Linked DNA regions of Nothobranchius furzeri. The protein of the gene in region 1 binds, or shares a complex with, the protein of each later gene. Links are inferred from orthologs where the notes say so. Each region holds a gene or a part of one and is shown in the gene's direction. Other genes may lie near its edges.

Region 1 (4,013 bases):
CTCTTCAGCCATCGTCTGTTGGGGTAGTTGCATCAGAAGCAGGGACCTGAAAAGGCTCAACAGCCTAATAACAAAGCTGGTTCTGTTCTGGGGACGACTGTGGAACCAGTGGAGGAGATTATGCAAAGAAGGATTCTCCAGAGAATCAAGAAAATGATGGACAACCCTGAGCATTCTCTTCACAAGACTGTCCGACAACAGAAGAGTGTCTTCAGTCAGAGGCTTCTTCAGTTTGGCTGCAACACTGACCGCTACCGGAGATCCTTCCTGCCAACAGCCATTGTAATATACAATAACTCTTTGATGACTTGATTATTATTATTATTATTCTGAGCTACTACAGCAATCAATTTCCCTCTGGGATTAATAAAGTATTTTTGAATTGAATTGAAACTGAAGAAGCCTCTGACTGAAGACACTCTTCTGTTGTCGGACAGTCTTGTGAAGAGAATGCTCAGGGTTGTCCTTAAGTTTCTTGATTCTCTGGAGAATCCTTCTTTACATTATCTCCTCCAGTGGTTCCGAAACTGCCGACACTCTGGCTGAGTCCTTGAAAGGGCTTGGAGTTCCTCCATCTTGTTGGCCAGTGATCTCACATTGCCCATTATGATCGATGGAAGAGATGGTTTGAATTTCCTCTTTCTCCATCTCCGTTTTGCTCCCGCTCTGCACCCACGCTTCTTGCGTTTTAGCTCATTTGGGATTTGTGGCTTCAGTTGAGGTATTATTTCAGCCTTTCCAATGTTAATCAGCTGCTATCGATTGTAAACCAGCTTGTTGCCATGGTTATGCATCATAACAAATGCTCAAAAAGTGAAAAAAGCTAAAAGAAATAGCAGTAAAAATCCTCCAAGCTTCACAGCACCAGAAACAGAAAAGTAAAGTGTCCAAAAAATACAGTTTTTCTTGAGAAACTATAAGAAAAAATGCCCAAGAAAAGACAAAACTTACATATAGTCAACAGAGCTACTCCAACATGCAGCCACCCAGAGCAGCGCAGTTCCGGAAAAGCCGCCGTTTGAAGCTCAGCTCTGATGTGGCTCACTTCTAGTTCCTGAAAATGGTGCGCCGGTGTTTTCTTTCCCCAGAGTATGACACACGAGATGTTTATTCCTACTAGAGACTACTGCAAATGTATTGATTAAATGAGGAAAGGGAAGAGGAGAATGGGGAACTGCACTTGTAAAGTTACAATAATTAGTACACTTCCTGTAAATTCTTCTCAGAAGTACCAGGATGTGAACGTTTCCTGCATCATGTAGATCGAACTCAGTCCTTCAGTCTATGGCTTTTAAGATTAAGGATATTTCCGTCCTCTGGAAGACAAAAACTGTTACTACAGTCAATGTTAATAAAGCTAAACAAGACCATACTCATTATTACTTCCTGTATGTTCTTTCAAAATAAAACATAGCATAGTTTAGTCCAGATAATGAGAAAGCCAGAACATCTTCTCTTATTCAAACTACTTAACTACTAAAACTCAATAAATATATCTAATGTATCTGTGTTTAACCAGATGGAATCAATGAGCTAAAGCAGGAAATATTAGCAGCTAGCTGAACATTTCAGATCTCTGCTCCATCTAACTTCTACTTACTGAAACAGAAGAGCAAATGTTTTACTTTTTTCTTCACAGAAAACGACTCACAAGGATTTACACAAGAGCCACCATAACAAATGGGGGGAAATGTTCCTGGTATTGCAAGCTTGTTGTTTCGTTTTTGTCCGGTAGGTGGAGGTAGTCCAAGCTGATTTGTTTACTCCTAATAAAGACAACAAAGAAGAAGCTACGCCATATTGGTGCGACCTAAACCAGCTTTGTTTGTGTGACATTAGCCGATTAATGTTCTATAATTAAACGTCACGGTGACATAATTATACACTATAGTAGGCCAGCCGCTGTAGTTTGTACTGCCGTTCACCTCAATGTGGGTTTATTGACAATAATGGCGTATCTTCACCCTTTAAAAGCCTTGTTACACCGAAGTCTGCAACACACAGCGGCAGCGCAAACATGTCAGTTGCGACTGTTAGCTCACGCGCGCAGGACTTTGTCCACAACACCAGGACTGGTCCTTCTCGGGACAGATAGTCCTCTGTCTGCGCTGAGTTGTCTCCGTGTGGCTGTGAGACCGCTCCACTGTTCAGCCAGAAACAGGAGCAGGCCAGAGGACGAGAACAAAGCGGCGGTGTCCAGGTATCAGCGCGCAAGCCCCAAAGCTTCAGCTTCCCAGAAGAGTAAGCTAATGCTAACGCTATGTTGCTATGCAGCACGGTACAAAATGCTGTAGGTTAGGGTTAGTTTATGCCAATTACTGCATGCTGTTGTTTACTAAAGTCTCATTGTGGGTGTCTTCCAGTAAAAGAAGCTGGTAAAGACTTCACCTACCTGATAGTTGTGATCATCGGACTGGGAGTGACAGGTGAGAGTAGCCAGACTGCAGAAACAAACGTGTGATTAGCAGCATATTTAATTTGATCTTACCCGCTGCTGTCAAAATAAATAAAAATGTGTGCGTTTGTGTTTAGGTGGACTGCTGTATGTGGTTTTCCAGGAGCTGTTTTCGTCCAAAAGCCCAAATAAAGTCTACGCAAAAGCTTTTGATAAAGTCAGGTCACACCCAGAGGTGAGAATGACAAATGATTTACTCTTTTGGCTCTTTTCAGTATAAAGTTACATGCACGGTGCTGTTTTTGATTTGAAAGTGCAGGTAATCGGGGCATTTGGCGAGCCAATCAAGTGCTACGGTGAGACCACCCGCAGAGGAAGGAGGCAGCATCTCAGGTACAAACTAAACTAGGCATAAAACTGTGTTTATTTGGGATTATGCTGTTTTTTAATCTGTTTTTGTTTTCGCCTCAGTCATCTGGAGTATCTGAAGGATGGACTGAAGCACTTGAGACTGAAGTTTTACATTGAAGGCTCCGAGCCAGGCCTGAAAGGAACTGTTCATTCAGAGTCGAAGGAGGTGTGTAGGTTTCTGATCTGCTCACACAATATCCATTTTATAATAGCTGGTATCAAATACTAAGAGCTGAGAGGAAAACTGCATCCATTGTCTTTTGATTTGTTGTCTTTGGTTTCTTACTTCAGAACCCAGAAACGGGGAAATATGAATTTCGTTATATATTCGTGGATCTAGATACCTACCCCAAACGGAGCATCATCATAGAGGACAACAGATGAGAACCCCTGCTGTTCACAATCTGCATTATTTAAATAAACAAGGCACTGGTCACTGGATTACAATCTTGTCCTTTTTAATTTGAAACTAATGTGTTAAATGACTCAACAAAGTCCAGTTTGTGTCCCTGCTTTAGACCTTTTGACCCCTCTTTATTGCTGATCTGTCCTAAAGTGTCCTTCAGGGGGGCTTTCTTTTTAAATAAACGCGGACTCTTCTGCTTGACTAAATTAAAAATTTTGGGCATTTCTTTTTGCAACATTTATCTACTTTCAAAAAATAGATCCATCCATCCATTTTCATCCGCTTATCCGGAGTCGGGTCGCGGGGGCAGTAGCCTAAGGCGAGAGGCCCAGACTTCCCTCTCCCCAACCACTTTGGCCAGCTCCTCCGGGGGAATCCCAAGGCGTTCCCTGGCCAGGTGAGAGACATAGTCACTCCACCGTGTCCTGGGTCTACCTTTAGGTCTCCTCCCGGTTGTACGTGCCCGGAAAACCTCACCAGGGAGGCGTCCAGGAGGCATCCTGACCAGATACCCGAGCCACCTCAACTGGCTCCTCTCGATGTGGAGGAGCAGCGGGTCTACTTCGAGCCCCTCCCGAATGACCAAGCTTTGGCAGAGCTGCCTCAGCCAACACAGCCCCACAACATCCAGAGCCTTAAGGAACTCCGGGCGGATCTCATCCACCCCTGGAGCCTTGCCACAGAGGAGCTTTTTAACCACCTCAGTGACCTCAGCACCAGAGTTGAGAGGCCAACCCAAAGTCCCCAGACTCTGCATTCTCACTGGAAGACGTATCGGTGGGATTGAGGAGGTCTTTGAAG
Region 2 (5,000 bases), on another chromosome or scaffold:
TGTCGTGATTTGGCGCTATACAAATAAACTTGAATTGAATTGAATTGAATTGAATTGAATTGAATTGAATGGAGATGTTCCAAACATGATGTGCAGTCAGTGTGAATGGCAGTCCACCTGGAAGCCATACGAAAATGAACCACACACATTGTTTGTGTAAACATGGCCTTACTCCTTATTCACACAGAGTGCAGAATTGTTCCATAAACTCAACTTTTCAATTTTTAAAGTGGAGATTTTCTTTCATGTGTTCTACTTGATGCTGTTCATGTGAAGCTGCATGGCAACTCTGGCTGAAAAGGTAACCATCATCTGAGCATACTCAGACATGGAAAAGGGGAGCATGAGCATTACCAGCAACTGTTTATCTCTCCAAACCCTGCTTCAGCCTCTGCTTCCATATTTGGTCATTTCTCAATGAGAGTTTGCTTTGCAAGTCATTCCTTTCCCCCTTTCTAATAATGGGCTGCATGCCAGCTGTCTGTCTCTTGGCTGTAGCTGCTCCTCTGACCAGCAGCGTCAGTCTCTGATGGAGAAAAACAGGAGAGGGAATGAAAACATTCCGTTAAATGCTTTAACACTAACACACGGGCTTGCAGAAAAATTATGTCAACGTTTAAAAGCAGAAAAGAACTTTAATAGTACCAACTTGCGGTTTATAAGAAGTTTGTATTACAGTTTTTTTAAATGCCTGGAACATTCATTTAACCATTTTTTATGAAACAAAGAACAAAGTGGATTTTTTTCCACAGCTTTACCCTGTCAAATCAGGAAAACTTGAAGGTATTAAAGCTGCTTTAAGAAACTTGGAAAACAAATTAGCTTAAAACATTTTTTCATCCCTTTTTACAATCTTCTAACATAGTATGGCTATAAAATATTATGTAGTAAAAAGGGTGGCTTTTCTGAGGAAAATAGCATATAAAACATTTTTTCAGTTATTTAATCTTTTTTAGTTAAGTACATAACTCCACATGTGTTCATTTGTAGTTTTGATGCCTTCAGTGAGAGTCTACCAACGTACAGTAAATGGTCATGAAAAATAAAGAAAACATATTGAATGAGAAGTTGTATCCAATCTTTTAGCCTGTACTTTACACACACACATATGTGTGTGTGTGTGTGTGTGTGTGTGTATATATATATATATATATATATATATATATATATATATATATATATATATATATATATAGAGAGAGAGAGAGAGAGAGAGAGAGAGAGAGAGGGGGTCATATGAAAATTGTTACATCTATAAAACAACATTGGAGAAAACAGAGCATGAACATGGAGCATGAATGTGACACTGTCAGAAATCTTTCCGTGAATCTTTGTTCCGTTTGGTATAATCCTAAAAGAGAAAAACTGCATTGTTTTTATAAACAATCTTATCTTTACAAAGTATTATTAGTATATAGACCTACATACATGTACATATGCCTAGTCTCACCCAATGGCGTTTAAAAATTATCTTCCGTTTTACAAAAATGTTTGAAACTAATTCTCTTGCAATTAGGCTTTACACATTCATAGGACAACTTAATTTTTATCGATTTCCTTCTATTTAGTATTTGTTTTTCTACTGGTTTGGTATTCCATGTTTGTTTCATTTGTACTTTGTACCTCTTTTTATTTTCGCCCTTATGTGTTTTAATATATATGTCACTACAAGGTTTTGCTTCTCTTTTAATTTAGTGTCTTGAAGGAGCGTGATTAAAGTCCTGTGTTGAAAATTTGTCATTGTTCATTTTTTTTCAATAAAGTTTTTCTTTTTTAAGGAAGAAGTGACGTTACGTTACGTCAGTGGTAACAGCTAAAGAACAAAATGGAGGAATATGCCAGAGAGCCGTGGTAAGTTTCAAAATAACGATAAATGTTACAGTTTACGTTGTTTTAATAAAATTAGCCAATTTTATCTAATTTAAAATGAGCATTGCATTTAGTTTTCATCTTTATATTTATTGTTAAAGCTTGTGGCACATCCCGATACACCTGGAAAAAAAAATACCGGCTGGCCAATTTAGCTCAAATGCTAATTTCTCCTTGAGTTTAATGGGCTTTTGTGCTAGCATCAGAACGGAAAGGCTAAATCACGTTGTTGGTGACCTTGCCGTTTTTCTCGTCCACATGTCATCAAAGTAAATTCAGGAACTGAAGTTACGCTTTGTGAATTATAAGTGTCACAGTTTATATTAATCACTAACAGCATTTATAAAAGTTATCGTCTTCAGATATTGTTAGGCTATTAGACATTGTTGATGTAGCTGTTAGCTCAGTTAGCCACCAGTGTGCTAACCATCCGGATATTACACAACTTGTAATTTAAGACAAAATCGTATGATCAGACATATACATATCAAACGTTCTGAGATACTCCTATTGAGTTATATTAAATATGCCTAACACTGGAACACCTTAGTTGTCTAGCTGGGTCATCTTTATAAAAACAGGTTTAACAAGAGATCATTTAAAATTTGACAAATGCTGTTTTATAGCAAGACATTTTGAGGGTTAAATTAGGTTAATGTTTGAAATCCAAGACAGGGAAAAATGCCTTTTAATCATTTCCAGTGAGAAGAAGTTGGCTTTATATGTCAGCTGTTAGTTTGCTGCTATTGAGTGTTTTAAAACTGTTTATGATGCTGCTTTGTTAATCCACTCATACAATGATCTCTCTCAATAACTGGGATCTTAGTATTGTAACACATGTAATTTGTTCATTTTTGTTCAGACAAAAATGTCAAAAAACATACTTTGACAGGTATGGCAGATTTGTAGAGTTTTTGTAAAGCTGAACATTTCTAAGTGTAGTAAATGAAGTGTAAGAAATGAGCTCAAAATTTCATCAGTCTTCAAATTGTGTGATGAGAGTTGCGTCATTCTTCAGGTGTTATTCTAAACCAAGTCCAGGTTCAAAGACTTGACTGAAAAAATAGTCTGACTGAATCAGACATGAAATTTTTTCAGAAAACTTTATTTTAGAAAAACTGCATGAAATTGGTTCTTGGATGTTAAATATAAATGAGTTGAAGAAAAACTTAGGGGGTTATCGCTCAATTTCTGTCATCTGTTTTCATAAGAGTGGTTACCAGAATTATTCAAACATCACATAAACAGAACAGTTTAAAAGACATAGTTATCAGTGTCTGTGTACTCTGTCACCAGACCTTTTGCTGTGTTTAATAATTCACATTTTGTTCCTCTTTGGTATAAATCAAACTCTTTTAAGCATTTCTATTTGTTGCACCTATCTCTATTTACAGTTCTGGCTGCAGGGCTAGGGATCGCTCATCTCAGTAAACTCTTCCCTAATTACATCTCTTTTTTCCCCCCCATAAAATTGACACAAAAAAGTTTTTTTCTTGAGGCTTCATAGTTTGTTTTAATCTCAATAGTTCTGTGTGTCCCGTATAGTAAATGCTACAGTTCCAATTAAGACTGTGTGTTTATTTGAACTTCAGCTTGGAAGCACACACTTCAAACATCATCCATGACTGTGTTGCATTTTAACACTAAAATAAAGTTTTCTTGAGACTTTTTTTAGATCAGAATTTTGAATTCTGTTTTTTACTTGTAGCCCCTGGAGGATTGTGGATGACTGTGGTGGAGCTTTCACCATGGGAGCTATTGGTGGAGGAATTTTTCAGGCTGTGAAAGGCTTCAGAAATGCACCTTCAGTAAGTTAACCAACAGTGTTTTACAGGGTTCCCTTTTACACACTCACATGAAGACTAGCCTTGACATTTAATGGCTTGGTCAAGGATGCTGGATGGGTCCAAATCCAGGGATAGTATCCTAGTAAGGACCTGGATTACCCGGTCTGTTGGGTTGGGCATCGATTGGAACCGGGACTAACCGTCAGTTTTTTCCAGAATCGTTCAGATTTAAGGCTGCTGACCGGAAGAAGAATCTGTTGTCGATCTCCGTGAAAAAAGCATGATATGCAAATTCTGATCAATGCCTTTCAGAGCCGATCATACCAGCTATCTGTCGGTCCTACTCGCAGCCCGCAGAGACCCTGAGAGCAGCATTGCGTCCCCCCTCCTTAGCCTCACACTGCGCAGGTGCGCAGCGGCTAAAATGTAAACAAACTTGTCTGCAGAACTTTTACTCTGTGATGTAAACTTTAATTCCTGCAGTGAAAAATGCATCGTGGAGGAAGCTCGTAAAAATGTGTTAACATAGTGGATTTAATGAAAATTTTGAAGAACAAACTCCAGGCAGTGTGAGGTGAGTTTGGCTTCCTGCAGAAATAAAAACACGGAGCATCAACAGTCAACTGCAGCCACTCACCAACACTCATCTGTGTGAGCGTGACCGTCGGAAGACTGAGCAAATTACCTAGAGCTAGATCAGCCGTTCTCTGTGGCGGATGACTGACACCGATTTCTAGCCACTAGTCTGTCCTTGATATTTGGGGAAAACAAGGACACATTTTGAGTTTCCTTCATATTTGGAAGGCCTTGTCACTTTTCTGTGGCATAATCAACCTTAAAATGTGGCCTTGAAAGGATGCAGCCTCTGGATTTATGCACAGCCCCATAAATGCAACTAGAGGGCTGTGGTCTGTGTTTATCTGAATCAGAAAAGTTGATTGTAGTTTTTAGATTTTTAATTGTATCGAGAAAATCACTTCAACTCCTGAGCTGAGAATCATTCAGCACTGATCCATGTTTCGTCCTTTTCCAGGGGATGAGTCACAGGATGAGGGGTAGTTTAACCGCCATCAAGACCAGAGCCCCACAACTAGGAGGTAAGAGAAAAAGAAGATCAGAAACAAGGGATGTATGGGTTAGGGTGTATTTGAACTTATGCAACTGAAGTGTTGAGGGCATTTTGACTACGTCTCCTGGCCTGGTTTGGTCATGTGAGCTGCAGATCTAAGGCTAAACTTTTATAAATTATCTCATGGGCAGACCACAACAAACCATCCCCAAACACGCTGCTGAAAGGACGAGGAACACTGCAAGGAACATACACTTCTGGAAGGTGTTACACGG
Region 3 (4,710 bases), on another chromosome or scaffold:
CCGCCCATCATCTCTGTCCCTGTCTCTGTCCCGATCTCTTTCTCTTTCCCGGTCCCTATCCCTGTCTCTGTCCCTTTCCCGTTCTCTCTCTCTGTCTGGCTTCTCAAACGGTCGCTCTCCTCTTTCATCTCCCAAATCAGCTAAAAACAAATAATAATGCAATTTCTGTGAAAAACATTCCTCGTTTCTTTTTTAAAGACACTTATGCAAAACTGGCGAGTTTAGTTTTTAAACCCACCTTTCATTTTCTTGGCAGCTTTTGTTATCACAGACGAGGGGTCATTTGGGGACAGCCAGGCGACTAGATCCGTCTCAACATTCCAGTAGTAAGGAAGACCACTGAGGGTGGCAGGAAATCAGGAAGAGAAGGCTAATCAGCTTACATACTAAACATGTAAAAGAGACCCAATGACATCGCTTTGTGAATTCACTGGAAAGCTTCATCTGGACTGCAAACACCCAAACACAAGCGCACTGGAGGTAAAACTACCAAAGAACCGTAGATAACCAGTACAGTGTACGTACCAAGCTGGATCAAACACTTTGTACCAGTTTGGAGGAAGATTCTCTGCTCTGGTGGCTTCATAATCTACATTATTGTCATCATAATCTTCGGCAATAATCTCCTCATCTGCACCTGTTATTAAAGGAGAAAATACTGTTACACGACATACGTGTAAAGTCACAGAGAAGGATGCATGGAGCCAGCGTGTTCAAGCCAAATGAGAACCTCGTTCTGTTGGTTTAACGATCCCCCTCTTGGCCAAGCGGGCCAGCAGAGCTGGAGGAAGAGGCATCCTGAAAAACACGAGATGCTGTCACAACAGTCACCTCGAACATCTGTACATGAGGTCAGTGGTTTCATAAATCCACAGCAAAGATACAGAAAATTTACTTGTTTCTCATGTGTTCTGATATTTAAAGTATACAGCCTCAATTATACACAACGGGGTTTATCCCAATAAACAAAACGTCTCTTTACTGCCAAATTACGTACAAAAACGAGTTAATTTATAACAAATAAACATCTGAACAGAAACCTTTCAGATAAAACATTGTAATGAAATATGGAGAACATAAAGCTCCCAACAGCACACGCAGTAAAAGGCGTCGGGCTTTCAATACAATTTGAATAAATGCTGTTCTTACGTTTTCAGTTGAAGTTATGTTCAACATTTGAGTTGTGTTATTTTTAAAGACTTTAACTACAGATGTAGAAACAGTCTGACATTCGTAAAATCTGCATTTATTTGCACGAACAACAAACGTTTACCCGAAGGCTAACCCTGTTAGCAACCGCTGGATGATTAAATCAACAAGCAGACTGCGTAAGTACTTCCATGCCCGGAAGGAACGAAAATCTGAACGTTTACGCTTCAAAACGGGATCCGAACAGGAACAAGTTTACCTGAGATAAAGAAATTCACCCAATAGCAGAGAAAATGATGTTAGCACCGCCAACGCACTAGTAGCGCCGGTCGCACGTGTATGACGTCACAACGTCTAGACGAAAACAAACATGGAGGAATATGTCCGCGAACCTTGGTAAGATTAGTTTGTCTTTAACTGTAAACTAAATACGGCTAACATACATACCAGTGTTGGTTTTTCTAGTGAAACATAAACATGTGAGAGAACAGAGACGCGTTGTGAGTTCTGCTGTCAATCCACGTATATATACGTGCTTACGTTCAATGCAATTCAAAAATACTTTATTAATCCCAGAGGAAATTGATTGCTGTAGTAGCTCAGAATAATAATAATAAACAAGTCATCAAAGAGTTGTTGTATATTACAATGGCTGTTGGCAGGAAGGATCTCCAGTAGCGGTCAGTGTTGCAGCCAAACTGAAGAAGCCTCTGACTGAAGACACTCTTCCGTTGTCGGACAGTCTTGTGAAGAGAACGCTCAGGGTTGTCCATAATTTTCTTGATTCTCTGGAGAATCCTCCTTTGCATTTTCTCCTCCAGCGGTTCCGAAACTGCCGAAACTCTGGCTGAGTCCTTGAAAGGGCTTGGAGTTCCTCCATCTTGTTGGCCAGTGATCTCACATTGCCCGTTATGATCGATGGAAGAGACGGTTTGAATTTCCTCTTTCTCTGTCTCCGTTTTGCTCCCGCTCTGCACCCACGCTTCTTGCGTTTTAGCTCATTTGGGATTTGTGGCTTCAGTTGAGGTATTATTTCAGCCTTTCCAATGTTAATCAGCTGCTCCCGATTGTAAACCAGCTTGTTGCCATGGTTACGCATCATAACAAATGCTCAAAAAGTGTAAAAAGCTAAAAAATAGCAGTAAAAATCCTCCAAGCTTCACAGCACCAGAAACAGAAAAGTAGTGTCCAAAAAAATACCGTTTCTCTTGAGAAACTAGAAGAAAAAATGCCCAAGAAAAGGCAAAACTTACATATAGTCAACAGAGCTACTCCAACATGCAGCCACCCAGAGCAGCGCAGTTCCGTTGACGTCTGTATCCTGATCTGACTGTATATCTTGTATTTTGACGGTGTCTTGTGTGTCCTCCCCTAACCTCCTGCAGCCCCTGGAGGATTGTGGACGACTGTGGAGGAGCTTTCTCCATGGGTGTCATCGGTGGAGGGGTGTTCCAGGCCATCAAGGGCTTCCGAAATGCCCCTGCTGTGAGTTTAAAACAGACTAGTTTGACTTGACTTCTTGGAAGCCTTTATAAACCTGTCTGTAACATTTCAGGGTGTTGGACACAGACTAAGAGGAAGTGCAAAGGCAGTGAGAGTGAGGGCCCCACAGATTGGAGGTTTGACCCGTTGCTGCTCTGCTCCTCACACACCACTGAAGGATTTTGGTCCCTTTCTCTAAACTGAGCTTCAGCACTGACGTGCTTCTTCTACCAGGTAGCTTTGCCGTATGGGGAGGTCTCTTCTCTACGATTGACTGTGGCTTGGTTCGCCTGAGAGGGAAAGAAGACCCGTGGAACTCTATAACAAGTGGTGCGCTGACTGGAGCCATTCTAGCAGCACGCAGTGAGGATAACACTCAACAACCAAACACTAGACAGGAACTCAGTAACTCACCAAATGTTTTGGTTTGCCTCAGGTGGGCCGTTGACCATGATGGGCTCGGCCATGATGGGCGGGGTTTTACTCGCTCTCATAGAAGGTTTTGGCATTCTCCTAACCAGATACACAGCCCAGCAGTTTCAGAACCGTGAGTGCCTTTCCCGTCTCTGTAATATACACCAGGTGCTCAAACTGAACACCTGCAGACATCTTTAAACCACTTTTGGGTTTTAGTTAAGCCATCTGTCGTTTGAAACCGATAACCAGTAGGATACTTGCAGCACGTCCAAGAAAAGCCTGACAAGTTCACTTCTTTCTGCTTGTTGTCTCCAGCCGTTCCCTTTGCAGAGGACCCCAGTCAGCTTCCTCCGAAGGACGGAGGGCCCCCCCCATAGCCAGCAGCAGGGCCCAAAAGGGCTGTTCCAGTAGAGGGTTGAGTCCAGCTGTAGACCAGAGCAGCAATGCCCTTAGGACTTGGCTGTAGAACCTCAGGGTCAGTGTTTAAATGTTTACGTGCGAGAGTTGTCGCTGTCGTCTTTATGCTTAAATATCTAGTTTGAGTTTCACATAAATGCTTTCATTATTCATAATGATTTAAACACGTATGTTTAAAACATGGGGAGAACATGTTTGGTCTCTTCTGGAGTCCGCGTGGAAACACGAGCTCTCAGCGTAAAACCCTCCTGTCTCCACTGTCTGGATGAGCTGATGTCGCTGGCCCGAGACTGCTGGCAGCCACACAGGCGGAGCGTGAATGTGGACAGGGTCGTGTGGAGCTTATTTACCGCAGTGATGCTAATTTTCTTGTTGTCTTAATGTTCTTTGATTTGACTCCAGATTTATTAATGGACCCTTTGTAAAATGGTCTCATACTGCTGAATGGACGAAGGTTCCAGACATCAGCAGCAAGACGTCTGTTATTATTTTGGGACAAACGCTTGTTAGGACCTGTTCAGAATGGCAGCAACACGAGACAAGGACAATGAGAATCCTTGGAAATTCCCTCTTGATTTGAAAAGGCGCCCCCAGCAGTCACAGATAGCCCAGTGAGAGCCCAGATGCACGCTCATTCACAGCCGCGCTTGCATCACGTTTGAGGATCTCGCTAGAAGACTAGGTCTTTCCTGGAAGAGGTTTGCAGGAAGCTCAGCTCTTACTCGAGTTCCCACACGCTGGTCCTCCTGAACATCTCTGCAGCCTTTTAAAGCTGCAGTTTGTTTGTGAAACCTAGTAAAAGACCAGTGGCTGAAGCCAGCAGTCAACACGCTCCTCTCCAAGACCTGCATGGTGGGGAAACCATTTGCTTGTTTTGTTTCTTCTGTAGGAAAAGTCTTCAGAAAAAGCCTGTAAGCGTAACTCTTACTGATCAAACCACTCGTTTCCTCCGGAGCTGGTGTTGTAGAGTCCAGCAGGCTCAGAGGACACACGTAATCAGGTGCATTTGTGACATTTTGTTCTGTGTGCTCAGCGGATTTTACCCTGAAGAGTTTGTTTTTTCTTCTTCTTCTGTTTAAATGTCAGCGGTGACAGTCACCGCTAACCAGAGCTAGTGCTTCGCTCCTGCTCTTAAGGTGGAATTTGCGTTTCCACACGTGAGATCTGTAACCGTTTGGTTAGAAAAGAAATCAAATAAGATGTCAGCAATGTAAAAATGAAACGTTCTGATGTGAGTTGGCTCAC
Region 4 (4,893 bases), on another chromosome or scaffold:
TCACGGCCTCGTCATGCATCACTTGGCCTCCGATGATGAACTCAAGTCGACCTTCTGTCACAAGCTGTCGAACCTGGAAGGACATCGACACACAAAGGTCAGCTGAGCTTTCGCGGGATAAAGAACTAGATGTGTTGCATCCCGGTTTTCATTCAGACATAAGTTTAAGGTTTATTTAAAATGTCTACGAGATGTTTGGATAAAAATACCTGAGATACAGAACTCCGGCTTCTTTTTTAACAGTTTTAGAGGCAAACGACAAGAGCTGCTGGTCATCAGAGCAGCATTCCTGTTGCATATGGATGATGCAACCAGTCACAACATGGAATGTTGAATTTCCAACTTCCTTACATTCTTGGAATGAAAAAAGGGCGCGACCACCACATAGTTCTGTCCTAACCTTTACTGGAACTGAAAGTGTTGAAAAGTAACCCAAACATAAAGATAAGTGCTCCGCAGAGGATAAAAGTGCATGAATTATTTAAAAACAAACAATGTAGTACCACTAAACTGCACCTCCCCACGGCTCACGCCCCCACTAGTTAAAGCAAACAGGGGCAAATGTATGTACCCATAAATAAAGATTGTCTTATTTTGGTGTTTTTGATTCAAGAAAACTAAAATGGGATCATAATGTGTGTCTTTCCTGGTAACTAAGCCCCCAAGAATGAAAATTTCAGCTGATATTTTCATTGATGAATGCAGACACAATCATCTGACTAAAGAACTGAGTTCTTACTTGTTTCTTTAGGGAGTCTGAGGCGACAGTGTCCCACCACAGGCGAAAGAACTCCTGTTCCACAGCGATGAACCTTCGATCTTTGTACTTTGACAGCTCCTGGGTCACACTGGTGTACACGTTAGCTGCATAGGCATGCATGCTCTCCTGCAAAACACACACACACACACACACACACACACACACACACACACACACACACACACACACACACACACACATACACACACGCACGCACGCACGCACGTTTAGAGGGGAAAACACACATATTCATTTGGAATTCAAGATCACCCTCCACTACCTGAATGGTGTAAACCCAGCCAACATCCATGTGACTGTGAGGAATGACAAACGTTTGAATGGGCTGATCCTCAGCTGTCGATTCATGTGAACAAAATAAACAAAAACACACAAAAACTGTAAAAAACATATTTTTTTCCATCCTGAAAATGAGAAAATTCGTTCGACAAAATCCACCAGCTTCACTTCCTTATCATGTTGTTGTTTAGAATGACTGGCATTTCATACGGAAGCCCTGGTAGCCCAAAAGAAGTGACGCGAGTGACGTTCAACACTGGTGTTACATTCAAATGCGCCCCCTATTGTGTTTAAATCATGCCCATGCTATTTCACACTTATATAGTTCAAAATAATTTTAAAAAACTGCTATAAGGAAAAATCTTCATAAGTTATTTTTAAACAAATTTTAGCAAGTAGCAAACTGAAATAAAACAAAAAAATCTCAGTGTTCAGTTGGATAATAAGCTCACACATATCAAATAAATGAACTTATCTCATATTGTCAAAGACAATTTTGTTCTTTGAAGCTAAAATGTGTAAAAGTTAGCAAGACGGAAAATATTTTGATGTCTAGTTTGGGAACATTTTCAGCGGACACATTTCTATGTAGAACATATCATGACGTAATGGCCGGAAGCTGTCGCTGTAAACGCAAGTAAACACGCTTGGAGGTGAGAGACCGCCTCTGATGTAAGAAAATGTCCAAAAACGCTAAAATAGTGTTAATATTCGGAGGCTTCGTTACGGCGGTGGCCGCTGCGTTTTACCCCATATTTTTTTATCCTCTAACACACAAAGACGATTACAGTAAGTGCTTATTTTCCAACACGAGCACTCAACTGCTTCATATTGTGTTTTAACTTGAAATCCAGCAATGCTAAATGTTGTTTGACACGATTGAAACGCTAGCTAACTTTAGCTTGTTTACCACTGACTTTCTATGACAGAGTTTTTAATCCCGTAGTGAAGAAATCAAACCAGCAAAAATAAAATAAAAATCTTAACCAACAAATATGTTTTAATATTAATCTTGTGTTCTGTGTTTCTGTGATTTTGCCAGGAGAAGTCCAAAAGGTAAACCGGGCAGGAATTAACCAGGCAGATGTGCAGCCAGTTGGTAAGAACTAATAATAAAACAAAAATCAGCAATAGTGATCGGCTGTTATCTGGGTCACTCCATTCCCTCAGACTCTACCCAGCTGTTGCCGCCATTACTTTCTGTTATTTATCTGTATATTCAGTGTTTTGATACAAAAAGTAGATTTATCTCCCATTTAATTAAATTCCAACCCTTAAATCACTTTCAGCTTTTTTCAACTAACAAAATCAATTTATTAAAATGTACCCTTAAAGCTCATTATCTTAAATTTTAATTATTATTTTTATTTATCTCACTTATCCGTGGGTCCAAGGCATTTTCTAGGACTGTAAGAAGTTCAACTTCTTTTTTGTAGAGCTCGTTCTGCCCTTCAGTTAGTCTTTCATAAAACTGCATTCATAAACTCTGTTTTTCTGTCAATAAGGGGTTCTGTGTGTACAATGAGAAAAAAATGAATGTATTGTTTTCCACAAAAACTGCAATATAAGAGGAAGAAGAAGAAAATATAATTTCTATAGTGCCTCTGAAGATAAAAATCATGAGGTGCTTCACATAAACAAAAAATGTAAAAATATCAAAAAGAATTTAGAAAATTGTTAAAATATATTTAAAATTAGCAAAAAAATAATAGACAATTGTGATTAGAAAATGTAAAGAGAGAGAGTGAATAGGAAAGAGGGAAATCAGTGGATCCTGAGGAAAGTGGAATAGGTGGGGAGAGCAGAATAAAGAGAGAGTGGTGAAGAAGGTCATGCAAAAGCCACTTTGAACAGCTGATTCTTCAGCTGCTTTTTGAAGGAGACCACTGAGTCCACTGATCTCAGGCTCAGGGGGAGAGAGTTCCAGAGTCTGGGGGGCCACAGCAGCAGATGATCTGTCACCTTTGGTCTTTAGCCTGGTGCTGCACAACCAGTAGGCTTTGATCACTGGCCTCAGGGACCTGCTGGGGGTGTAGGGACTAAGAAGATCACCAATGTAAGATGGTGCTTGTTCATGTAAGGCCCTGTAGACCTGAACCAGGATCTTGAAATGAACCCTGAAGTTGACTGGCAGCCAGTGAAGCTGGAGGAGAAGCGGGGTGATGTGGGTGTGTTTGGAGGACTTGGTCAGAAGCCGAGCACAGGCATTCTGAACCACCTGTAGACGGTTCAGGGAGGTTCTGCTCAGACACGTGAAAAGAGAGTTACAGTAGTCTAAGCGTGAGGAGATGAAGGTGGGGGTAACGATCTCAAGTTCAGAGTGGGACAGAATGGGACTCAGCTTAGCAACGTGCCTGAGATGGAAGAAGGAAGAGCGAACAAGAGAACTGACATGAGAATCCAGGGTGAGAGCTGGGTCAAAGGTCACGCCAAGATTCCTGACGGAAGGTTTGGTGTGGGAAGCAAGCTGACCAAGAGAGTCTCTGACTTTGGGAACCAGCTTGTCTGGGGCACAGATGAGGATATCAGTCTTATCTTCATTCAGCTGTAGAAAGCTCCCAGCCATCCAGGTTTTGATAGAGTCTAAGTAGGTGTGTAACATCTGCAGCTTAGACATCTCATGGGGCTTAAAGGAGATGTACAGCTGGATGTCATCTGCATAAAGATGGTAGGAGATTCCTTTGAAGGAGCTCAGGATGTGCTGAAGAGGAAGCAGATAGAAGAGGAAGAGCAGAGGCCCCAGCACAGAACCTTGTGGGACACCATGGGTAAGAGAGGTGGTGGAGGACCTAAACTTGGAGACGGCCACAGAGAAGGAGCGCTCAGAGAGATAAGAGCCACTCCAGAGCAGTTCCTTGATATAATAAAGTAGGGCTGCAACAACGAATCGATGAATTCGATGAAAATCGATTACTAAAAGCGTTGGCAACGAATTGCGTCATCGATTCGTTGTGTCGCACAACTCTTCCAAAAGCGCCCCCCCTTCCCGCCCACCGTTGCGCGCAGACAGATCAGCGCGAGAGAGAGCCGGCAGTTGTTTGGAAGAGGAACATGACAGAAGCAGCGAGAGTCAAAAAAGTAAAAGCTTTTTAAGTTTGGGAGCATTTTCAGTTAAATCAGGCGAAGACATGCGTTACCTGCAACGTTTAGGTCAGACTGGGATGCACGGGATGATGCAGCGTCTTAAACGCAAGCATGTCGGGATCATCAGCGAGGAAGGAGAGAACTCTGTGTCCGGGTAAATTAAAAACTTTTCAAAAGTGATTCATCCAAGTCCCGGATTATTACACAGGCTAGACATGCCCTAAATTCGTAAAAAAAGAGTCTAAAGTCGTGAGCGCGACGCTTATTAGATGAGCGGGGGGACTCGCACTGCTGCGAACCGGTTCCGCCCAAGGCCGGATTAACTGGGCAATTGCCCAGGGCCCACGAACTCTAAAGGGCCCAGGGCACGAGCACAATACTGTATCTATAATTTCCCGCTTTATGAGGACTATGGTGACCGTACGTTCCGTTTTCCCCGGCCGTGTCCACTTTTCACTCTCTGTCCGGCGCGTCCGGACTGCGGGTTCTTGTATTGATGAAAATGTCCGGCTTTTCATCCAGGAGCAGGGATCGAATTATGGGGGAGCTGTATATCCTACACATCCGGGGAGCCGGAAAAAGTTTTCTATATTATATCATTTTTGGACTCTTTTGAGCAGAGAGCGGCACAGCGCATTGCTGCGCAGCGATCCAGGCAGCTGCTTCCAGCGCACGGTCCATTCTCAAAGTGGCCCAACCAAAAAACTATAATTAGCACACGATCGTTCATGTCTGCACATGTTCTCTATTTT

What was found. The genes of interacting proteins can lie anywhere in the genome.
Region 2: timm21 (region 1) and timm17a share a complex: the UniProt entries of both Homo sapiens proteins name them as parts of the TIM23 complex. The link is inferred for Nothobranchius furzeri from reciprocal best matches to the Homo sapiens genes TIMM21 and TIMM17A.
Region 3: timm21 (region 1) and timm17b share a complex: the UniProt entries of both Homo sapiens proteins name them as parts of the TIM23 complex. The link is inferred for Nothobranchius furzeri from reciprocal best matches to the Homo sapiens genes TIMM21 and TIMM17B.
Region 4: timm21 (region 1) and smim20 share a complex: the UniProt entries of both Homo sapiens proteins name them as parts of the MITRAC (mitochondrial translation regulation assembly intermediate of cytochrome c oxidase complex) complex. The link is inferred for Nothobranchius furzeri from reciprocal best matches to the Homo sapiens genes TIMM21 and SMIM20.

The regions. Positions count from the first base shown.
Region 1 is NC_091747.1:54,072,693-54,076,705, forward strand, and holds timm21 (mitochondrial import inner membrane translocase subunit Tim21), read left to right. Parts: upstream 1-1,760; 5' UTR 1,761-1,949; coding exon 1,950-2,241; intron 2,242-2,363; coding exon 2,364-2,426; intron 2,427-2,532; coding exon 2,533-2,630; intron 2,631-2,714; coding exon 2,715-2,788; intron 2,789-2,866; coding exon 2,867-2,972; intron 2,973-3,097; coding exon 3,098-3,190; 3' UTR 3,191-3,253; downstream 3,254-4,013. UniProt on the Homo sapiens protein: Participates in the translocation of transit peptide-containing proteins across the mitochondrial inner membrane.
Region 2 is NC_091743.1:60,934,863-60,939,862, reverse strand, and holds the start of timm17a (mitochondrial import inner membrane translocase subunit Tim17-A), read left to right. Parts: upstream 1-1,751; 5' UTR 1,752-1,825; coding exon 1,826-1,851; intron 1,852-3,577; coding exon 3,578-3,677; intron 3,678-4,689; coding exon 4,690-4,753; intron 4,754-5,000. UniProt on the Homo sapiens protein: Essential component of the TIM23 complex, a complex that mediates the translocation of transit peptide-containing proteins across the mitochondrial inner membrane.
Region 3 is NC_091755.1:41,959,622-41,964,331, reverse strand, and holds the start of timm17b (mitochondrial import inner membrane translocase subunit Tim17-B), read left to right. Parts: upstream 1-1,461; 5' UTR 1,462-1,519; coding exon 1,520-1,545; intron 1,546-1,970; exon of another isoform or gene 1,971-2,079; intron 2,080-2,534; coding exon 2,535-2,634; intron 2,635-2,704; coding exon 2,705-2,768; intron 2,769-2,865; coding exon 2,866-2,994; intron 2,995-3,067; coding exon 3,068-3,178; intron 3,179-3,363; coding exon 3,364-3,425; 3' UTR 3,426-4,710. Other genes in the region: pqbp1 (polyglutamine-binding protein 1), read right to left, coding at 1-140, 239-339, 526-637, 731-797. UniProt on the Homo sapiens protein: Essential component of the TIM23 complex, a complex that mediates the translocation of transit peptide-containing proteins across the mitochondrial inner membrane.
Region 4 is NC_091742.1:58,395,520-58,400,412, reverse strand, and holds the start of smim20 (small integral membrane protein 20), read left to right. Parts: upstream 1-1,644; 5' UTR 1,645-1,737; coding exon 1,738-1,846; intron 1,847-2,099; coding exon 2,100-2,156; intron 2,157-4,893. Other genes in the region: man2b2 (epididymis-specific alpha-mannosidase), read right to left, coding at 1-73, 740-886, 1,041-1,181.